Stegostoma tigrinum: one gene and its partners. The protein of the gene in region 3 interacts with the protein of the main gene of each other region in a pairwise test. Links are inferred from orthologs where the notes say so. Each region holds a gene or a part of one and is shown on either strand. Other genes may lie near its edges.

Evidence for each region.
Region 1: the proteins of tfg (region 3) and pef1 interact in binary tests that used the Homo sapiens proteins (3 or more experiments, as listed by UniProt). The two-hybrid records come from large-scale screens. The link is inferred for Stegostoma tigrinum from reciprocal best matches to the Homo sapiens genes TFG and PEF1.
Region 2: the proteins of tfg (region 3) and annexin A4-like interact in binary tests that used the Homo sapiens proteins (3 or more experiments, as listed by UniProt). The two-hybrid records come from large-scale screens. The link is inferred for Stegostoma tigrinum from reciprocal best matches to the Homo sapiens genes TFG and ANXA11.

The regions. Positions count from the first base shown.
Region 1 is NC_081377.1:33,835,513-33,842,957, forward strand, and holds the start of pef1 (peflin), read left to right. Parts: upstream 1-4,335; 5' UTR 4,336-4,341; coding exon 4,342-4,422; intron 4,423-7,445. UniProt on the Homo sapiens protein: Calcium-binding protein that acts as an adapter that bridges unrelated proteins or stabilizes weak protein-protein complexes in response to calcium.
Region 2 is NC_081390.1:18,821,625-18,828,750, forward strand, and holds the start of annexin A4-like, read left to right. Parts: upstream 1-4,054; 5' UTR 4,055-4,206; intron 4,207-4,625; exon of another isoform or gene 4,626-4,693; intron 4,694-7,126. UniProt on the Homo sapiens protein: Binds specifically to calcyclin in a calcium-dependent manner. Required for midbody formation and completion of the terminal phase of cytokinesis.
Region 3 is NC_081365.1:29,138,214-29,145,222, forward strand, and holds the start of tfg (protein TFG), read left to right. Parts: upstream 1-3,977; 5' UTR 3,978-4,091; intron 4,092-7,009. UniProt on the Homo sapiens protein: Plays a role in the normal dynamic function of the endoplasmic reticulum (ER) and its associated microtubules. Required for secretory cargo traffic from the endoplasmic reticulum to the Golgi apparatus.

The DNA of each region.
Region 1 (7,445 bases), on a different chromosome or scaffold from region 3:
CTTGTCGAAGTTGGCATCATCAGAACAGATGCTATGGAGATAGAGGAACTGGGACAATGGAATAGAGTCTTTAAAGGAAGCAGAGTGTGAGGATGCATTGTTAATGTAACTGGGAGTCAGTGGGTTTGTGGTGGATACTGGGGGCCAGCCTATCCCCAGAAATGGAAACAGAGATGTTGAGGAAGAGAAGGGAGGAGTTAGAGATAGACCAGGTGAAGTCTAGAATGGGGTGGAAATTGGAAGTGAACCAATTCTGGACGAGGGTTGTGGCACCAATGATGTCATTGATGTACCAGAGAAAGAGTCGCGGGGAGGGACCCACGTATCTGTTTTAAAGTGGAGGTTGACCGTCTTTGGTAACTAAAACCAAAATACTGGGAGAGGTGCACCTTGCCCTATAATCTGTTAAAACAGATCCAATGTGCTATGAAGGAATGGTTAAATAAAAATAAACCCCTGACACACTGTTTATAATCAACAAGTAACAAGTTATTTATCTAACTCTTAACAGTGAACAAACTGACTAAACTATTTACAAACTGAATACCTCTTGTAACTACTAACTGGAAAACAGGATTATAAAGGAATGTTGTTCCAATAAATACATGTTCCACTTACATAAAACAAGATTTTAAAAAATCAGAATTTAGTCTCTCAAAACTACAACCAGTTATGTCTTCCAGAATGTTCTGAGTCTTTGATGAATTCTTGTGTCAGGAACATTAATTACTTGCACTGTAGGTACTTCTAATTTAGATGGAGCGTACTGTAAGGCTTAGAGAAATGTGTGAGAGCCACTGATTCTCTCTTTTAGAGCTGAGAGCTGTTCTCTTGGCAGATGACAGTTGGCTTCCCCCTGATTTTCCAAATGCCCTCATCTTTTGCACCCTTGATGACCTTTCAAATTCTTACAAAAGGATTGGTCCTATGTTGCCAAAACCATGAGATTTAAATTTAATTAGTTTTTGATATCTAAGAGCATGGTTTAAAATATTTGGCTAAATTTAAAAACCTGTTGTCTTGGTAAAAATGCTGCTGCTCTACCTGCTAACTGCATAGCCTTTTAATATACATGTTTCGATTCAGGTGCTCTGTGCACCTGCAAATGCACGGAGTATCAAAAAGGATGCCTAAGGAGAGAAAAAGAACACCATCTTTTAAAGGGACCATGTACTGCTTTCCCCATAGCATTTTACAGACACCAACATTTTACAAACATCAAATTCTAACTTCCTGTCTTCCAATCTACAATTATTCGACCCAACTTTGCACCATATGACTGAAACAAGGAAAGTTCCATTTACCCCAGAAGGAAACAGATATAACTGGGACTCATGCAGGTACCCTTGGTTCAGGCCTTTTTTCCAGGAAGTAGCGGAGAACCCTGAGACCATCCTGATGTGTGAAGGGAATGCACATCCATGGTAAAGAGGAGGTGGTTGGAGCCTGCAAACTGGAAATTCTGAAACTGATGTAAAGCATCTGAAGAATTGTAGACGTAAGTGTGAAAGGACTGGAAAAGGGGAGAAAAGAAGAAGAAAAGAAATCAAGGCAAGGTAGGAAAATGGTCTTTGTTTTTAAGTCCTAATTTCCTACTTGGGTCTTCCCCCGCTGCAGTTGGGCATGTCTTAGACCACAAGGTATAAGAGAATTAGGCCATTCAGTCCACTGAGGTTGCTCTCTGCCGTTTGGTCATGACTGATACATTTCTTAACCCCATTCTCCTGCCTTCTTCCCATAGTACTTGATCCCTTTACCAACCAAGAACCGAATATCTCTGCCTTGAATACATTCAATGATGGCCACCAGAGCCCTCCGCGGCAATAGGTTCCACAGAGTCACCCCCCTTTTGACTGAAGAAATTCCAGATCTGTCCTAAAAGCAACTTCATTCAAAATTGTGCATACACAAACTGACTTCCATAAGTGCACTCTCGTGCCTTCTCAGTCTTCAAATCTCTTCAGACAGGGAATCCATTCTCTCAGCATTCTGCTACCACATCAGCTTTCCTATAACATTGGAGAATTGTTGGAGAAACTCAGCAGCTTGGGCAGCATCTGTGACGGGAAAACAGCATTGCTGGTTTATTGAACTTATCGAATTGATAATGGTGAGAAAAAGATAGTGTTTAAATTGATGATGGTGGGGCTTGGGTGGTAAAGGACTGAATTGATAGGTGGAGATGGAGCTTGGAGAGAACAAGTGGCACAGATAAAACACTGTTGATAGTAAGCCAGAGCATTAGAGGTTTAGATAATTGATAATGGAGACTATGAGTAATTGAAAGTGGGCTGGCTGTGCTGGAAGCAACCTGTACAATGACCAGGCTCAAGGTGTAGGGGTAGGTAATAGATACGGAAGGAGGTATTCATGATCTAAAATTTTTAAATTTGATATTGAGTCCTGAAGGCTGTATGGAACCTAGGTGGAAGGTGCTTTCAGCTTGCTGGAACACTGCAGCCAGCTTGAGACACAAGTAATGGCATAAGTTAAAAATCACATGACACCAGGTTATAGTCCAATGGGTTTATTCGAAATCTCAAGGTTTTGGAGTGCCACTCTTTTATCAGCAGCAGTGAGATAGGGCACACAGACACGGAGTTTATAGACAGAGAAATCAAAGCATCATACAACTGATGTGAGTGGAGTGAACAAACATAAAATGGCTAATGAAGAACTCTGTTAGAAAGGAGATGCAAGTTTGAACTGATTAAGATGCAAATTTCAGAATGTGTTTCAAGTTGCTGCCCAAAGATAATGAAAGGTTTTATCAATGTCTGCCTAACTTTCCAAACTTCAGTCAGGCAGAAATTCAGAAGGTGACATCTCAGGTCAGACACAGAGTTGTAAGTGTGAGGCCTCGTGCAGAATCTGTCTCCAAGTTTTAACCTGAAATCAGGCTGGTTTTATTCCAAAAACAGGTATTTATAAAATGCTACATTGATGGACTGGAACTGACAAATGGATAAACATCTTGGATGAAATGATTCACCCCATAGATTTGTGTGTGTGTGTGAGAGAGACAGCGAGCGAGAGCAGTGAGAGATAGTAGGAACTGCAGATGCTGGAGAATCTGAGGTAACAAGGTGCAAGGCTGGATGAACACAGTAGGCCAAGCAGCATCAGAGGAGCAGGAAAGCTGATGTTTCGGGCCTAGATCTTTCTTCAGAAATGTGGGAGGGGAAGAGGTTTCTGAAATAAATAGGGAGATAAATATCCCTCCCTAGCTATCCACCTACACTCACCTTTACTGGCTCCATCCTCTCCACCTATCTTCTCCTCTATCCATCTTCAATTTGCCTCCCCCTCCCACTATTTATTTCAAAGCCCCCTTCCCCTCCCTCCTTTCTGGAGAAGGGTCTTGGCCCGAAACGTCAGCCTTCCTGCTCCTCCGATACTGCTTGGCCTGCTGTGTTCATCCAGCTCTACACCTTGTTACCTCATGAATGTATGTGACTTGGCTAATGTCGTCTATCTCATACACTACAGGCATGAATGCCCCAAAGCATGGTATATCGGCAAGACCATGCAGATACTAAAAAAAATGGATGAATGAACAAAGCGCAACAATCGCCGTCCAGGAGTGTTCCCTCCCAGTTGGGGAACACTTCCAACGGTCAAGGGCATTCAAACTCTGGGTACACAACAATGCAGAATCACCGAGCAGTGACTGATAACTAAGTTCTGTACCCATGAAGATGGCCTCACTGTGATCTCGGCTTCATGTCGAGCTACAGGTGACCCCACCTGTATCTGCAAGATCTTCCTTACTACCCTGTTTATGTTTGTTCACTCCACTCACACCAATTGTATTCTCCTTCGACCTCTCTGCGTATAAACTCCGTCTGTTTACCCACTCTCACTGCACCTGAACGAAGAAGCGGCGCATCCAAAGCTTTTGACTTTAAACCTGTTTGACTATGTCCTGGTGTCATGTAATTTTTGACAGTCCCACGCCGGCACCTCCTCATCAAATGCTGGCATAAGAACACAGCGGTGCATTGAAAAGTGACAGGCAACTGGGTGCTGAGGATTATTTTTTAAGGACACGATGGGGAGGTGAAGCTCGCTGGTTGAAAGATTGATGATGATCGATGTCATAGAGATAATCTGGCTGCAAACACTAACACCCACTTCCGGGAACGCTGGTGGAGGACCACGTGACAGGAAGGACCTACCTTCCGTGATGTCACTGAACAACCACGTGATGTTCCCACGCCCCCTGACGTCATGGAGGGCGGGGCTGGTTCCGCATCCTGTGACTGACGTGCTTAGCCACCTATCAGAGGGCACGTCGTTTCGTGCGTTTGGTGGGGGCGTTGCGGCCAACGGACCAATCGGATGAAGGAGACGGCCCGGGGCGTGTGCGTGCTCGGGCGGGTCGTTATTGAGTTGGAGATGGCTACCTACCCTTATGGCTCGGTGAGTGGGGGAGCGGGTTGCGGGTTCGGGCAGTTTGAGCCTCGGGCCTCGGGCCTCGGGCTTGTGGGCGTTTCGGAGAGGCGATGCCATTCTCCGTGGAATTAGGGCTGAAAGTTGAGGGCTGGGAGCAGAGGCGCGTGCCTCGGCCCGGAGCTGAGCTGAGGTGAGGTGATCGAACTGTCCCACTGAGGGGGCCCTGGCCCTGGCCCTGGCCCTGGCCCTGGCCCTGGCCCTGGCCCGTTTGAAGGTGGTGCTGGTGCCCGGGTGGGTGATGAAGGTAGTCTTCTCCCTTCCAGAAAATGCCTGGGGGCTGGAATTTCCCCTTCCACTTCCTTCTCTAGGTTAGGAGGCTGGGTTAATTCAATCTTGGGATTCTTTTTTGTTGTTGATACTTCATCTACAAACTTGGGATAGATTTTCTCCAAATTCATTTCCTTCCCGAATCTGAAGGCTTCTTGTCCTCGGAAATAAGTTTTATTTTGTAAAATGCGGAACAATGATTAGATAAATCTTCTGCTTTAAAAAAGCTTACTCGCTGTGAGTATTATAGCATTAAAACTATACTTAGGAGCTTGTTTAGCTTGTTAATTTAGAAACTAACATTTTTGGGGAAGTTTTATGGTCTTGTATACACTTATAGTATTAATCCTGTTAGTTGAGGATTGTTGTTTCCCAAAAAAATCTGCCAGAACCTATCAACCTTTCCTTTCTAGTTTTGTCAAAGCGGAACTTTTCAGTTTAGCTAACATGAAGAAGGTATTGTTAAGACAATCTGGTTCTTCTACATCAATCAAAGGGCAGTTTATCTTTTCCAACAACTAGAAGAGGTACTTTCCTTGCCATCATGATGGGTATTTGTACCTCCAGACAGGCTTATTTGGATGGGAATTTAGCTACTGCTAGCTGCATACTTCTGCTTGGGGTTGTGAAATATTGTGAAATTGACTTGAAGTAATGTGCCACTTGCAACTAGATCAACATCAAATCAAAAGATGCAAAATTAACCTGAAGATTTTCTGAGAATGAGACGAAGGGAAAGACACAGAGACTATCCTTGCAGTAATGATGGTATTAAAGAAAAAAGATCAGATGACAGGCACATGGAACAATGATGATGACATGAAGTCAGAGACTTATTTGTTTTTTTCATTTCAGCCGTGTATACTCTTGAGTAACATGTTATTTTTGTAGTGTTATTCAAACAGTTTGAAATGTTGAAAGGCTATCCCTTTCAACAAAAACAAAGCATTTATGTGTGGGAGGCAGTTTGAGGTTGCTTAATCTGTTGCAATCCACAGATGTGCTGACAGAAGAATAATCAGAATGCTACGCATAAGTGAATGTTTTGTTTGCATCTTGTTAGTGTGAACCTTTGGCTATTATCGTATTGAATGCTGGAGTAGGGTGAAAGAGCTGCATAGAGTCATACAGCATGAAAACAGACCCTTCGTGACCTGGTCCCACTTGTTAGCATTTGACCCAAATCCATCTAAACCCTTCTTATTCATACAACCAACCAGATACCTTTAAATGTTGTAATTTTACCCACCACCTCCACTTTCCCCAGCACCTTGTTCTATATGTGCACCACTCTCTGTGTGAAAAAGTTACCCCTCAGGTCCTTTTTAAATCTTTCCCCTCCTACCTTAAACTGTGTCCACTAAGTTGGACTTGGTCCATTGTAGGAAAAAGACCTTGGCTATTCACCCTATCCATGCCCCTCGTGATTTTTCATGCTTCTGTTTCTTAAGATGGCAGTTCGATTGATCATAAAGGCTGTGACTGTACTGCTTCTTTGGACCAGGGCATGCTTTCTAGCAATGCATGGTAGCACAGATACGTTTTTTGGAAACAGTTTAGTTTATGGGACATTTGCTAACATCTTGCAAGGTTATGACTTTCCCAGTATGGTTAAGTTTATCCCTACTGTAACAGTTGTAATTTGTATGACTATGGGGCAGGCACAAGCATAAGTGATAGTTGGAACTGCAGATGCTGGAGAATCTGAGATAACAGGATGTAGAGCTGGATGACCACAGCAGGCCAAGCAGCATCAGAGGATCAGGAGGGCTGATGTTTCGGGCTTAGACCCTTCAGAAAATGTTCATTCAGGTCTAGGTCCGAAACATCAGTCTTCCTGCACCACTGATGCTGCTTGGCTTGCTGTGCTCATCCAGCTCTACATCTTGTTATCACAAGCATAAGTGAAACAAGTTATAACCTCTACGGAATATCTTAACTTGGTTCCTAATGCAGCTACTGGCATACTGAGAATTGTTCTGCAAGTGCTGTCCAATCAGATCGAACAGCAAATGATTTGATTTATGCTTTGCATGTATGTGTGGGCTGGTTGAATATGGTCTGTACCGTGCCTATTATAAATAGCCAAAGGAACATTTTGCTGATTAGGATGTATGGTCTATGTAACACCGGCACTGAAATTCATACTGTTATTCAGTTGTCTGGTATTCAGTTCATCATCTTTTTGATATGGTGGAAGATTGCTGTTAGTGGAAAATATCTCACAGTCACTGCAGTATTAAATGGCGAGTTTAACATGTTCAAAGTTTAGAAAATTAACCTGGAAAGGCAAAATATGAGTTATTTTTCGTATTACCAAACTAATCAAAAAATGGAACATGCTGTAGTGACCTGTTCAGAAGAAGTTCCCTTGCTTCCCTCTTTAGTTGTTCATAGGAACTGCCTAGTTTCAACTTAGGTGATCAATATGTCTAGGGACAAGAATACATGAGCTGATTTCCCATTGCCTGTCTCATGTGAGCTTGAAGGAAACAAGCTCTCTTCCCATAGGACCCTCCTTCACGTGAAAGCAACTTGTTGTTCCTCAAGGTTCTAGCTCTTCTGCCATCACTGCCAAAAGTTGTATGATTCTACCAATGGCCATGATTTGTAATGCTAAGCAAGAGACTGTTATCAGAGGCTGGGGTTATTCGTAAAAAGACAAGGACCACCCACTCTCGTCTCGTGGTCCTGGTAACCCTGAAATGTAGCATATTCCCTTT
Region 2 (7,126 bases), on a different chromosome or scaffold from region 3:
AGTGATATTTTAATGGAGAGTGCATGGCAACATGGAGATCTCAACTCAACATGTTAGTTAAATAGTGCCGTAAGCAAATTGCATTCAGGAGAATGGAAGCTTCTATGTGGCTATAATATCATGTATAGTGTTACAATTAAAAAATCAAAATTAGGATGGGTGTGAAGCAAGTAGCACAGATGAGTTTAAAAGAGGATTTCAAAGACTCACTGTGCACTCTGAAAAATGTAAACAGACAACTGATGATAGGAAAAGTTTACAGGTAAATGATTAAACTAACAGAGGTTCTTTATTGACTTTTGGTAGGGCCTCATTTCTATTTGTCAGATAATATTTGAGAAGCAGCCCATAAATCAAACAATGATTGTTCTTTCAATTAAGAAGAGGCAGAGTAGGAATCAGGATCCGTGCGAATCATAGAAAATGGACTTATTTTTAGATGCAGTTGTAAGAGCTTAATGTATATCACTTGGATTTGTTGAACCTTGGAACTATTTATAGACAATATTTTTAGAATGAGTGCTGGAAACTGTTAAAGTTTATGTGCCTTTCAGTGGTACCACAAGTCAACCTTATACAAAGACTCTCATTCACAAGACCCATGAACACATCTTTCTTTGGTTGTGTCTACACTTCAGACATCAGACTGGGAAACTTGGCGATGTCTCGCTCCTAATTGAAATTATGAACCTATGCAGAGAGCATCTTGCTTAAAAATAAATTGAGCTCTGTTGTTAAGCCATACGGATTAGGAGAAAGCTATACTCTCAACATATTTCAAAGTCTAGGTCAGTTTGAAAATACCCAGAAGATCCACAGCAATATTTAAATACATTTGTAACCCAGGTTGATGCCACAAATGAGTGACAACGTGGTTCTCTCCCTCAGAGGTTTCACACCGCTCCATTCTGAAGTCAAATCTAGATCCAGTTCTGGAGTTATGCAGTCAATTTTGCATTGTAACAGTTAGGACAGTATCACAGTAACATTATATCTCCACCCTTTGTGTATCATATTGTCTTGTTGCTCCCACAGCAGAACAAATAATATGAACAACAAAAGACTTCTTCATGGAGAGATAAGATTCTTTAAAGAAGTGACATTACTTTCATTGTAACCAAACCACACACAGGAATTCTTTAAAGTTCTCTTAAGCAACCAGAACTCATTTGATGCAATTCCTAAAATAAATTATTTTATTCACAATGAGATCACATTTTTCAGGAACACAATAGCAAGGTTGCTTTTATATTATTCAATTTCTTGTAAAATTTACTCCTGTTCAGCCATTGATTGGATAAATATGTAGCGATTGTCCAGGAAGCAGCTTGGGTGGAAAAACAGAGTTAATATTTTAGGTTTGTGACATTTCTTCAGAGCTGGAAAATATAACAGGATTTAAGCAAATAGAAAGTCATAGAAAGGAGAGAGAGGACGATACAAAAGTGACGGTTTATAACAGGGTGACAGGTGTTATAAAAATAATAATTCTGAAACAGTTAATGTTGACATTGTATTCATCTCTACCCAATCTGATAGTGTCTTCACTGGAGAATCTGGCATTCTCGTTTGAGATCTTGATAGGGTTAGAAGACAAAGCTGGCTCTTGATAGACACAAGCAAATATGCCTGATCAGTCAATGTGGCTTGTATCTATTTCTGTTATGTAGGATAAGTGTCCCTGCATGTTAGAACTCACCAGGGGTCTATCTTCTGCTCTCTTCTGACTCATTGCTGCAACTGTCCAGCGATCATTTCCAGATGATAGATGTTTATGCATTTCCCAGATTAGATCATAACAGTTGGCTTCCTTTGAACAAAGGCTTTTTAATGTATGAAGTGCAAATTAGTAGAAACATGTTTATTCTCCATCCCTAGTTCAATTGAGATAATGGAAGTGAATTTCTGTTATGAACTGCTGAAGTCCTAATATTGTCAGTATTAAAATACTGTTAGGCAGGTAATTTTTGATCCAGGGATGAGGAAGTAGAGGCACATTTACAATTCATAGTTTGTGCCATTTAAACATAATAATGTTCCCATGATTTTGCTGCTGTTTTTCTCCATCTTGGTGATGACAACAAGGCTGGGCAATATTGTCAAAGCAAGCTTGGCAATTTGCAGTCTATTCTGTAGGTGGTGTGTACAGTTTACTCCTGTAACAACAGTGTGCCTCTGATGAGGTCTAGTGTGTTAAGGGGGACATATGAAGATACACTTCATTGGATTTTTTGTGAGAAAGAGCGAGAAATGTTTATTTGCCCTCTGAGACAAACACTAGTTTGATTATTTGTTCATCATGTTTGCTTGGTTTAAAGGGTCCCTGATATTGAATTTAATTGCCTAGACCTGACAGGAAGGACACTTATTTGCTTCCTGCTTTCTGTATTTGTTATATTTTGAATCAATGTACTAGCATTTAATGAGTCATGCATATAGGGACCTAAGCCCCTCCGTCCCCTTCATAATTTCTAGCCTCTTGCCATTCAGATAGTATTACAAGATCTTCGATCCTTTATAGCTGGTTACTGGGTTTTGCCAATGCACTCTAGGCCCAAAACGTCAGCCTTCTTGCTCCTCTGATGCTACTTTGCCTGCTGTGTTCATCCAGCTCTACACCTTGTTATCTCACTAAAATGATATGTCTTTTGTTACTTGTATATACTGCATTCTTGAAAGTGCTGCCTCTCAAATGGGGGCCAGACCCCTTTCACACTTTGTTCGAGTGAGGTATCAAAGATCCTGTGTCACTATTCCCAAGAACAGTAGCCCTGGCTGATATCGAGCTCTCAATCAACAACACCGCTTTCTGCTCATTATCACATTGCTGCCTTCTGTAAGACGTTGTTGTGCACGTTTACAAAGAGACAGCACCCCTGTTACAAAGGAATGTAAAAACAGTAATTATTAGAGAAACTCAGCAAGTCTGGCAGCATCTGCGGAAAGAGAAACAGAAGCAGAAGTGAAAAATGATCACTGGACTCGAAATGTTATCTGTCGCTCTGTTCATAGATGCTGCCAGACCTGTTGAGTTTCTCCAGCAGTTTCTAATTTTTAAAATTTGATTTTGACTGGCTTTGAATTATTATTGTCACATGTACCTAGGTACAGTGAAACGTTTGGTTTAGTGTGCAGTATGGGCAGATCATACCACACAAAGTGGAGAAGGGGCTCTAGGCCCGAAACGTTAGCTTTTGTGCTCCTGAGATGCTGCTGGGTCTGCTGTGTTCATCCAGCTTCACACTTTATTATCGAGGAATATAATGTTACAGCACAAAGAGCAAGATCAGCATCAAATTTGAAATTTGGGAGGTCCATTCAGAAGTCTAATAACAACAGGGAAGAAGCTGTTCTTAAACCTGTTGGGAGATGTGTTTATGCTTTTGTATCTTTTGCCAGAGGGAAGAGGTTGAAAGAGATTATAACGTGGGTGGGAGGGGTTTCTGTTGGCTGCCCTTCTGAGGCAGGGAGAAGTATAGATGAAGTCAATGGATGGAAGGCTGGATTAGACTGGAGTTTGTAACGTCCTGGTCAGAGCAGTCGCTGAAACACGCTGTGATGCATCTGTTTTTGTTTAAGGTCCCCAGCTTGTTTGTTTTGTTTCAGTGTTATACAAAGGGGCATAGTTTGAGTGAAATGCTACCGCAATTTTTCTACTCTAGAACACCAATTTGATAAAGAGCTTCATTGACTGTTAAGTGCTTTGGGACGTCCTCTGACTGCGCAGGTCCTTATCTCCTATTTTCTAGCAATTGTACGAATAATTTCTCTTCCGCAGCAGGATGAGATGTGAGGTTTCATCTGTAATGTAGCAACTTTTGTACGGAAGCTTGTTACAATTTTTTTTTAACAGAGGCGCGCTCAAGAGAACACGACTGACACTATGGACTGAGAATTTCCCCCCCAAATAATTACATAGCCCCTCTGAGATGACTCAGTCTTTCAAAATAAAGTCCCCGCACTTCCTTCTTCAACTTTACAATGCAGATAATATCAAGGCTACAACTGAACAAATTCCACGTCCTCTTTTTCCACCGTCTAATTTGTTGCTTTAGCTTCTGACGTTGTGATGGGCGGGTGGTATTGAGTAGGAAGGTCAGCTGAATAGATTTACGTCTATTTTAGTATACCGAAAAAAACAGGGCGGACGAGCTAAGAAGAGGAAGAAGTCTGCGGAACTTGCTGTACGGATCAAGCGCCTTGCAGGTAGGTGAAAATACCATCCCGATCAAAATCTGATTTGTTTTCTTTCCCGAAACAATGTATCAGTTCGTCCTCGATGTAATTGCTCTGCTCATTCTCTCTCTCCCCGGCAAAGCACATTCGCTAAACATCGCAGCTCCTGGTTTGAAACGGATTATGGTTGTGCTGGGGTGGGACAGGGGTGTGTTTGGTTGGGGTGCTGGTATGGGGATCGATGCTGGCGTGAATCTATATCCCAGTGATTAAAAGACGCTTGAAACTCACAAGGAGCAAGGAGATGGGCAACTTGCCAGCTCTCCTGTTCCCTTGCAGTTTCTTTTTATGATGACCATCGCCCGTTTGAAGCCTTTCCTTTTTTTAAGTATCTAGTGTGGCGACACTTTCTCTGAAAGCAATGCCTATCACTTAATTTCTGATTTCAGGAAAGCCAATTGATTACATCGTCTAGTGTCGACTGATCGACTTGAGAGTCCTGCAGTTCTCCTGAACAGTAAACCGCAAGCGTGTGTATCTGTGTAAAACTGTTGATTGTTTTCCCCTCATATTCTGGTCCAGTCTTGAGAATGCATTCTACTTGGCACAGAAATGATGAGCGTGTTTTAGAGAAAAAAAATCTATCAACCTATTTAGACGTCTGACAGTTCTGTAGCCATTGAATCTTAAAGTGATAATTGAAGCCTTGTGGTCTAGAAATAGGAGCACTAACAATTTGTTACAAGATGCTCAAGTCTTTTTTAATGACAATATTAGCTAATATTAATAATAATATTAGATAATATCAGAGGGGAATCTTGAACATGATCACATTTACCATCTTCTGGGTATTAAGGAGTGGGTCTGGTCTCCTGTTTTAATTTTTAGCAAAGTTATAGATTTTTTAAAAAAAACTCGCCTCTTTTGACATGTCATGACGCACCTCTGGAGCAGATGGGACTTGAACCTGGATGTTTTTTGGCTAGAAGCAGGAATGCTACCACTCTGCAACAAGAGCTTCAAGCACATGTTATAAGACAATATGAATCTTTTGAAGGGGATGTGACAAATTGCGCAGCTCAAACAGCCTGTGTAAGCATACCCAGCACCTTCAGGGTGTTAAGGTGTAGTTCTGCCCTACTGCTTTCATTTAAACAAGTTATTGAATGGAATTATCAGCTTCACCTCACATTGAATGGGATGAATCATTTATAAAATACTGGATTAGCCTCAATTTCCTTCAGTCCCAGTTAGCCCAGCATTTGTTGTGCGTCCCTAGTTGTCCTTTCAAAGGCTTGTTAAGAGTCATCTATGTTCCTATGGGCCTGGAGTCACATGTAGGCCAGACCCAGGTAAGGACAGTTGAGTTGTTGCCCAAAAGGACATTTTCCAGGGTTGGAGGGTTTGAGCCACAGGGAGACGCTGAACAGGCTGGGGCTATTTTCCCTGGAGCATCAGAGGCTGAGGGTGACCTTATAGAGTTTGTAAAATCATGAAGGGCGTGGATAGCTGAATAGCTAAAGTCTTTTCCCCAGGGTAGCGGAGTCCAAAACTGGAGGGCACAGGTTTCAGGTGAGGGGGCAAAGATTTATAAGGGACAACATTTTCATGCAGAGGGTGGTGCATGTGTGGAATGAGCTGCCAGTGGAAGTGGTGGAGGCTGGCACCATTACAATATTTAAAAGGCATCTAGATAGTTATATGAATAAGAAGAGTTTAGATGGATATGGGCCAACTGTTGGCAAATGGGACTAGATTAATCTGGAATATCTAGTCAGCATGGATGATTTGGACCGTAGGCTCTGTATCTGTGCTGTACATTTCTATGCCTCTACCAAACAATAGTGCTTCCAATTCTGGGCACCATATTTTAAGAAGAATATGAACCTTTTGGCGAGACTGTAGAAAAGATGTATAAGAGGATATTACAGGGATAGATTGGAGAAACTGGACCAGCTTCCTCTTGAGAAGGGAAGATCAAGAGGAGATTTGTTAGAAGTGTTCACAGTCATGATGGTGTCAAGATAATGGCCATTATTGGCAGAAGACTTAACAACCAATGAAAGGCAAAAGAATCAAAGCCAAATTGGGATGGTAAACCTTTTTATTCCACGAGGTTTGTTGTATCTGGATTGTGATCCCTGAAAAGGTGATGGAGACCAATGCAATCAGAGCTTTTGAAGGGGATTGAATAAGCAACGGGACAATAGATGTAGGCAGTTCTGTTTAGTGCCAACAACAGAAATTGTTGGAAAAAGCCAGTAGGTTCTAAAGAATGGTCACTGGATCCGAAACGTTAAACTCTGATTTCTCTCCACGGATGTGACTGCTCCCGTTGAGCTTTTCCGTCAATTTCTGTTTTGGTTTCTGATTTCCAGCATCCACAGTTCTTTAAATTTGTAGTTTTCCTTAGTGCCCTGGCCAATACCTATTCCTCTAGCAATATCACACAAATAGATTACCTGCTGTGCATATTACTGCTGCTTGTGAGAGCTCGCTGTGGACAGGAAACATTTGGATGGTTGAGTATAAGGGCTGGGAGTCAGATGAACCGAACTGTACTTGCAAAGTTCAAACATAACCTTGATGAGTTGAATAGCCTCTTTCAATGCTGTTACCATTCTGTTATTACCTTTGTTTATCCGTGGAATATTGCTGTATTTCAAGGATTACTTATAATTGGAAATAAAATACTTTCGTACTCCTAAGTCTGACCTTTTAAAGGTTAGAAGGTAGATAGTTTTGTTCAAAAGAACTGGTTAGGACCAGTGCAGCTTGTTCTTGCCTCTGCTCAGAGCTGGTATGAACAAGTTCAAAGCCAAGCTGCAAACATTAAGGCAATAAACCAAGAACCAATTGCCAGGTAGACGATTCATGTTGTAGAATATGTTTTGAAAAGCATCGCTTTCAGTGTTGGTCTGAAATGTTAGGCTCTGTTGAAAGAAGCACA
Region 3 (7,009 bases):
CAAACTTCAGTCACATTCAGACCCTTCAACTAAATCATTAGTATAGATTGTAAGTAGCAATGGTGGCAACCCATGAGTAGAGGCCAGCCAAACTGAAAATGAAACATTATTGTAAGTTCAATATCTGTTTCCTGCATATCAACCAATTATCCAGCCATGTAAGTACATTACCCAAACCTCATGAGCCTTTAAATTATAAAAATATCATTCAAATAATTTTTGAAATCCACCTACTTGCTGCAGCCCCAAATAATTCTCAGAAATTTGACTAATGCAATTTCTTTCTCATAAACCCTGATTACTTTGTCAAACAAATATTCTCCTGTGTCCACATAGTCACGTCCAGTAAACTGAGAGGCTGTATACCTCTTGACATCTTCTTTTTAATCATCCAGTTATTATCCTTAGCACTCAATATAATCTTAAGTCCTATTTCAGGCTCTTATCTCAGAGAGTCTTTTTCCACCTGACCTGAGCATTTCTGACCTCTTTCCCATTTCACTTGTACTGTTGTTGAAACCTTCATCCATGATTCTCATTTCAACAAGTACCAGCCTCCCATCTCAATAAACTAAGTTTTCAGCCCAAATTCTCTCCTAAGTATGATTCTACATAGCTCTAAGCCATTACTTCATTAGCTCTTTTCAATAAGTTTTCAATTCAGTCAAATCTATCTGAGAAGTCATCTCCAACCCTACATCTCTATCCATCAGCTCTATTTTTCTGATTCCAGATTACAGTCCTATTTATTCTTTCCTACCTCTGTTTTAGCGACTTAAACCAAGTCTTGAATTCATTTCCAAAAACACTTTCCCTTGCCAACTCTCAGAATCCATTGCCCAGTATGTATCTCCCTCTCCCTGTAAAGTGCTCAAACTTATGTTTATATATGATGTGGAGGTGCTGATGTTGGACTGGGGTGGACAAAATCAGAAGTCACACTACACCAGGTTATAGTCCAACAGGCTTATTTGAAAACACAGGCTTTCAGAGCTTCAGTCCTTCCTCAGGTGTTAACGGGAGAGATAGTATCATACCATTGATGAATCCACGCACCCGTTCCCCACCGTCTCATATACACACGTGAATCTATGGGGTGAATTTATATTTGTAGATACATCTTATTTTGTTCAAAAAGCACACAATTTATTGCCAGTCAGTCAATATGGTGTTTTATTACTTCCTACTTTAGACATAAAACCAGTCTGGCTCCAAACTAAAACACAAACAGATTCTGAACAAGGCCTCACACCTAACATGCATTGTCTGACCTAAAATGTCATCTCTTGTTTACACTGATAAAACCTTCACTTTTCTCAGGACCATGACTTGAAAGGAATTTGGGGGTCTACATATGTGGATTAATCAATTAAAATTTTTTAACTAATTGAAGATTTAACAGCATCTTAGGTTTGTTTAGTACATCAATGGTGTGAACCTTTGATCTTTTATTTATAAATTCTGTGTCTGATACTACCTCCCTCACTAATGCCTGAAGAAGGACTGTGGCTCTGAAAGACATAACAAGGTGTAGAGCTGGATGAACACAGCAGGCCAGGCAGCGTCTCAGGAGCACGAAAGCTGATGCTAGACCCTTCTTCAGAAGACCCTTCCTGTGGCTCTGAAAGGTGGTGTGTTCAAATAAACCTGTTGGACTATAATCTGGAGTTGTGCGATTTCTGACTATGTTTATATAGAACATGCTGAAGGAGGTTACATGATCGATCTGATTATTGTTTTAACTCCACTTTCCTGCCTGCCACTCAGAACTTGTGGCTCTTTTGTTGAAGAAAAGTCTAACTGAGTCCTGAATATATTCAATGATTCAACCTCAACTGCTCTCTGTGGAACAGAATTTGGAAGAATAATGGCACTCAAAGGAAAGATTCCTCTTCATTTTAGTCTTTCATGGAGTCTTAATAATATTATGCCCCAAAGTTCCATAATTCCCAATGAGGGTAACATTCTCTCAGCGTTTTTAAAGCTGCATTAAAAATTTATATGTTTCAATAAGATCACCTCTCATTTCTCTAAATGCTAAAGAGCACAGGCTCAACCTGCTGAGCCTTTCCAAATAAGAAAACCTCAATATCTTAAGAATTAGCCTAGTGAATATTCTCTGAATTGTTACCGATGCATGGATATCCCTTCCTAAGTCAGGAGTTTGAAATTGTACATAATTTTTAGATATGGTCTCACTAATGTATGGTAAAGTTGTAATATGACTTCCTTACTTTTATACTGCAATTCCCACATTAAAAAGCCAACATTAAATTTGTCTTCCTAATTATTGCTTTGCCTACATTCTAATTTTTTGATTCTAGACAGCAAATGCATGATCAATAAGTAGGATAGTGAGATAGGACATGAGCAGCAATGTTTTGGTCAAGACAGCATTTATAGAAGCTGAAGGGTAGCTCCATTCAGAAATGATGTAGAGATGTCCGTGTTGGACTGGGGTGGACATAGGCAGAAGTCACACAACACTTTTGGAGCTTGTGATTTTAAATAAACCTGTTGGACTATGACCTGGTGACATATGACTTCTGACTTTGTCTATTTAGGAAAACATTGAATGTAGAGATGACCTGCACATTTGCAGTGTTTGGCAGCAGATTTTGACAGTTTGTTGCTCTGAAAACAGAATTGGATGATATTTGATTGATGGCATTTGACAGAATCTTACAATTTCCTCAAGAGGAAAGATTTGATTAAATGAACCAATCTCCCTTTGCACAATACTCACAATTCTCACTCACTAAACCTGTTAGAGGACAGACACATTCCTGTCCATTCAGAACAGCACTGCTAATGTACCTACAACATGTGGACTGCAGTGGCTTGGGAAGGCAGCTCATCTCCACCTTCTTAAGGCTAAGTAAGCATGGTAATAAATGCTGGCATGGCCAATGACACTCACTCCCTGTAAAATGGTTTTTAAAATATGACAAATTATAATTTTGCCATTATAATGTGGTGAGACCACACCTGGAATACTGCGCACAATTTTGGACTCCGTATCTGAGGAAGATCATTGTGGCTATGGATGGAGTGCACCAAAAGTTTACCTGGCCAATACCTGGGACAGCAAAACCAATGTATGAAGAGAGACAGGATTGGTCAGGACTATGTCCACTGAAGATTAAAAGAAGAGGACTTCATAGAACTGTATAAAATTCTAAATGATTAGATATGGCACGTGCAGGATGTAAAATAACCAAAAGAACTGTGGATGCTGGAAATCAGAAACAAAACAGAAATTGCTGGAAAACTCAGCAGATTTGGCAGCATCTGTGGAGAGAAGAAAAACCAAAAGAACTGTGGATACTGTAAATCAGGAACAAAAACAGAAGTTTCTGCAAGCTCAGCAGGTCTGGCGGCATCTGTGGAGAATAAATCGGAGTTAACGTTTTGGGTCCAGTGACCCTTCTACCGAACTCAGGAAGTTCAAAGCAAGGGTCACCGGGCCCAAAATATTAAGTCTGTGGAGAGAAATCAGAAATAACATTTTGGGTCCGGTGAGCCTTCTTCATTAAAGCAGGATATTCTTGATGATCTGGGAGTCCAGGACCAGAGGTCACAGTCAAAGGGTAGAGGTTAGACCCTTTCGGATTGAGGTGAGATAGTGAGGCTGTGGAATTCTCGCTACAAAAAGCAATTCAGACCAAAATATTGGATGTTTTCCAAGATGGAGTGAGATACAGTTCTTATGGCTAAAGAGATCAAAGGTATTTCAAAAAAGGGACAAGGTCCTGAGTTGGAATTATCAGCCAGATTGGTGGAACAAGTCCAAGAGGTGAATGGCCTACTTTTTTTTTCCTGTAAACTATATTAACAGAAGGAGAAATGTATCTTTTTATGGAATTCAAATCCTTCAGATGGGCAGACTTCCTGAAAAATGTTAAAATGCTGAATGCAGGGAGGGAAATGCCAACCTTCATGTGTGAGTGCGCATGCTCGCTGCGCTTTGCCACGTCCAGACGGCAGGCCCGGGAGGAGAGAGGGGAGGGACTTGGCGTTTGTAGGAAACGGAGAGAAGGACAGGCACTGAGCTCGCTTCAAAAAAAAACCCCGCAAACTCCCAGCCACAGGTTTGTATTTTTCTCTCTCTCTCTCTCATACACACAAACACATTCCTTCAGTACTGATTGAGCAGTGAACGGAGAGGCCGGTCCAAGTGAGGAGCGGGCCCCAGGCCTACTCCCGGCCCGGCTCCCATCAACCAGCCGGCTGGCCCCTGGTGTCATCCGTTCGCACTCGGAGCCGCTCATTCCTTCATTCCGTACAGATCCAGGGTTGAGGGGTTGGCGGGGAACGGGGTGATTTCCTGCCGTGGGAGAGACGTGAGACCCGGCAGGAAGTAAATCTGAGATAACAAAAGTGTGAAGCTGGATGAACACAGCAGGCCAAGCAGCATCATTTTTTTTTGGTGGCGGGGAGGTCGGTGGGGGTGGTGGGAATATAGGGAGAGGGTAGTTTGGTAGCGGAGACGGGGAGTTTGGGTGTGTAGGAAGTAAATCTGTCCCGGTTCAGAACACAGGTCTTCTGAGAGTTTGGTGGGGAAGGAGGGACATTTGTGGGGGGGTGGGGTGTGGGGTTAGTTGGGTGGGGGGGGGTGGAGATATTTGGGGGGTAGGACGGCGGGGGAGGGGTGTACGTTTTGGGGGGGTAGGTCGGAGGAGTACATTTTGGGGGTTTGGTCAGTGGGTGAGGGGGTATTTGAGGGGTTGATCAGTGGGGGAGGGGTATATTTAGGAGAATAGGTCGGTGGGGGATGCAGGGAAGTTAGGGGAGGGTTGGTCGGAGGGGGAGGTGGGGAATATGGGGAAGGGTATGTTGGTAGGCGAGGTGGGGAATTTGGGGTGTAGGTTGGTGGGGGGTTGGGGACGTCGGTTTTTGGGGGTAGGTTGACAGAGGTGGGGGTTGGGGAGGGATCTGGGGGTTGGGGAAGGGGGGAGGTGGGGAAATTGGAAGGTCAGTCAGCAGGGGGAGGAATTTGGCAGGGTTATTGGATGAATGTGGGTTCTGAGACAGATTGGAGGATGTGGCAAAAGGGTCTGTGTAAACTTTGGACCAGTGTTTGGTGGAAGGGGTTGTCCTGAGTTTGGCTGGGGGCAGAAACCGTTTTGAGCAGTTTGTTGTGATTTATGTTGGAAGGATTTCTGGGATGAGTTAGGTATAAAAGTGATACATAATGGTTGGTTCGAAGTGTATGGAAAACAGGGAACTGGCTGCTGAAGAGTAGAGTTTCAGTATGTAAAAAAAGTTGAATCAATCAGCATGTCTGTAATTGAGGAAAAGAACATTTATTTTCAATGAAGGAAATGATGTTTCTGCAGTGACAGCAACTGTCTATCTGATGAGATGATTTTCTGTCAGCAAGCTTTTTAAACTATTGATTTAAAATGCTTGTGCAAGTGTTAGAATATTTTATATGTAGATTGTCATAAAATTGCATTTCACTTGTTTGGTTATACTGCTTCTCGAAGAGATGGGTCCAATCAAACACAAACTTAAGATACTAACAATTTTGGACGTTTGTTAAAGGTTTGATAATGGACAACAGGATGAATTGAAGGAGCATGAGGAGTCAGTTGCAGTTTGAATTTGGATCAGTTATCCTATGTTACCTGCCTGAAGTGCCCTTGGGTTGATGTGATACCGATTCCTTGAGTCAAATGTTCCTTGTCGTTTGCTATTGAGCAGAATACTAAATATTCCAGAATTATCAATTCTAACTTGCACTTTGACGGGAAAGCTGCAAATGACTCGTAGTTGCAGTAGTATGGTACTAATTGCATATGTGAGTGTACTGTACCTACAGATTAATTTTCTTCGTGAATAGGTGTATGGATATCATGGTAAATAAGAGGTGAGAACATGTTCCTGGAAACTTGGAATTTAATACTGGAGCATTTCTCAGCATTTTGGGGCATATTTTTCATATTTTATTGTAAAATATCATCTATTGTTAATTTATACATGCTGTTTTATTACTTATGTGTTTAATCATAATCCATTTGTACCTCGAATTCTTGACAGTGATGTTGTTAGATAACCCCAATCTATGTTAATACTTATTAATACTTAATATCTTGCTAAGCTTGTAGGCAAAAGAATGGGACATGAATATACAAAACTTTTCTTCGCAAGTATAATCCAGGCCTAGACACTGAAATCGTTAAAAAGAAGTAACTACCTCAGAGGCTAGCAGCTCATCATACATTTACTGATTTTTGTTGCATTGACTTTGAGTTACGTTTGGAATTGTGATGTTGGAGTTCAGATCTGATTTTTGAGTACACATGAACATTGTGTATAATCATAATAGAGACCAGATACAGATGATAAATGAATATTCTTGTATGTATGACATATATGTTGTCAAGAATTGACCATGTCACGTTTAATCTGTACCTTTCCCTACAAAAATGAAATGAATATATGCAGTATATATCCAAAATTCTTCCATCCAAAAATATTTCATTGGTCATACTCAAGCTTTTAGGCACAGTGGGGTCCATTTGATTTGTTAAATCCCTGTTTATATTACTTTTGCATTTATGTCAAGTAAATGATACGGATGGTGATTTTGGATTTAATCCTCAGTGAGGCAACGCGACTCATAGGAACATTGGGCCGTAGGAATTGGGAGTAGGAATGGGCAGTTCAGTCCTTTGAGCCCTCTTGGCATTGACATGAGCATATCAAATCTTATGCTGGTCTCAACTCCACTTCTCTGCCTGTAACCCGTAGCCCTTTATCTCGCTTTTCATCAGAAACACCTATTTCTCTTTTGAATCAGTTGATTTGATTCTACCTCTGTCTCTGTGGCAGTGAGTTCCACAGACTCTCAACTCTCTGAGAAAAGTAGTTTCTCTTCATCTCAGTTTTGAACTTAGCTACTCTCACTACATCTATGCCTACTTATTTGAGACTGTCCCACAAGGGGGGGGACATCTATTCGATGACCACCTTATCAATCCCTTTTGGCATTTTATATACCTCA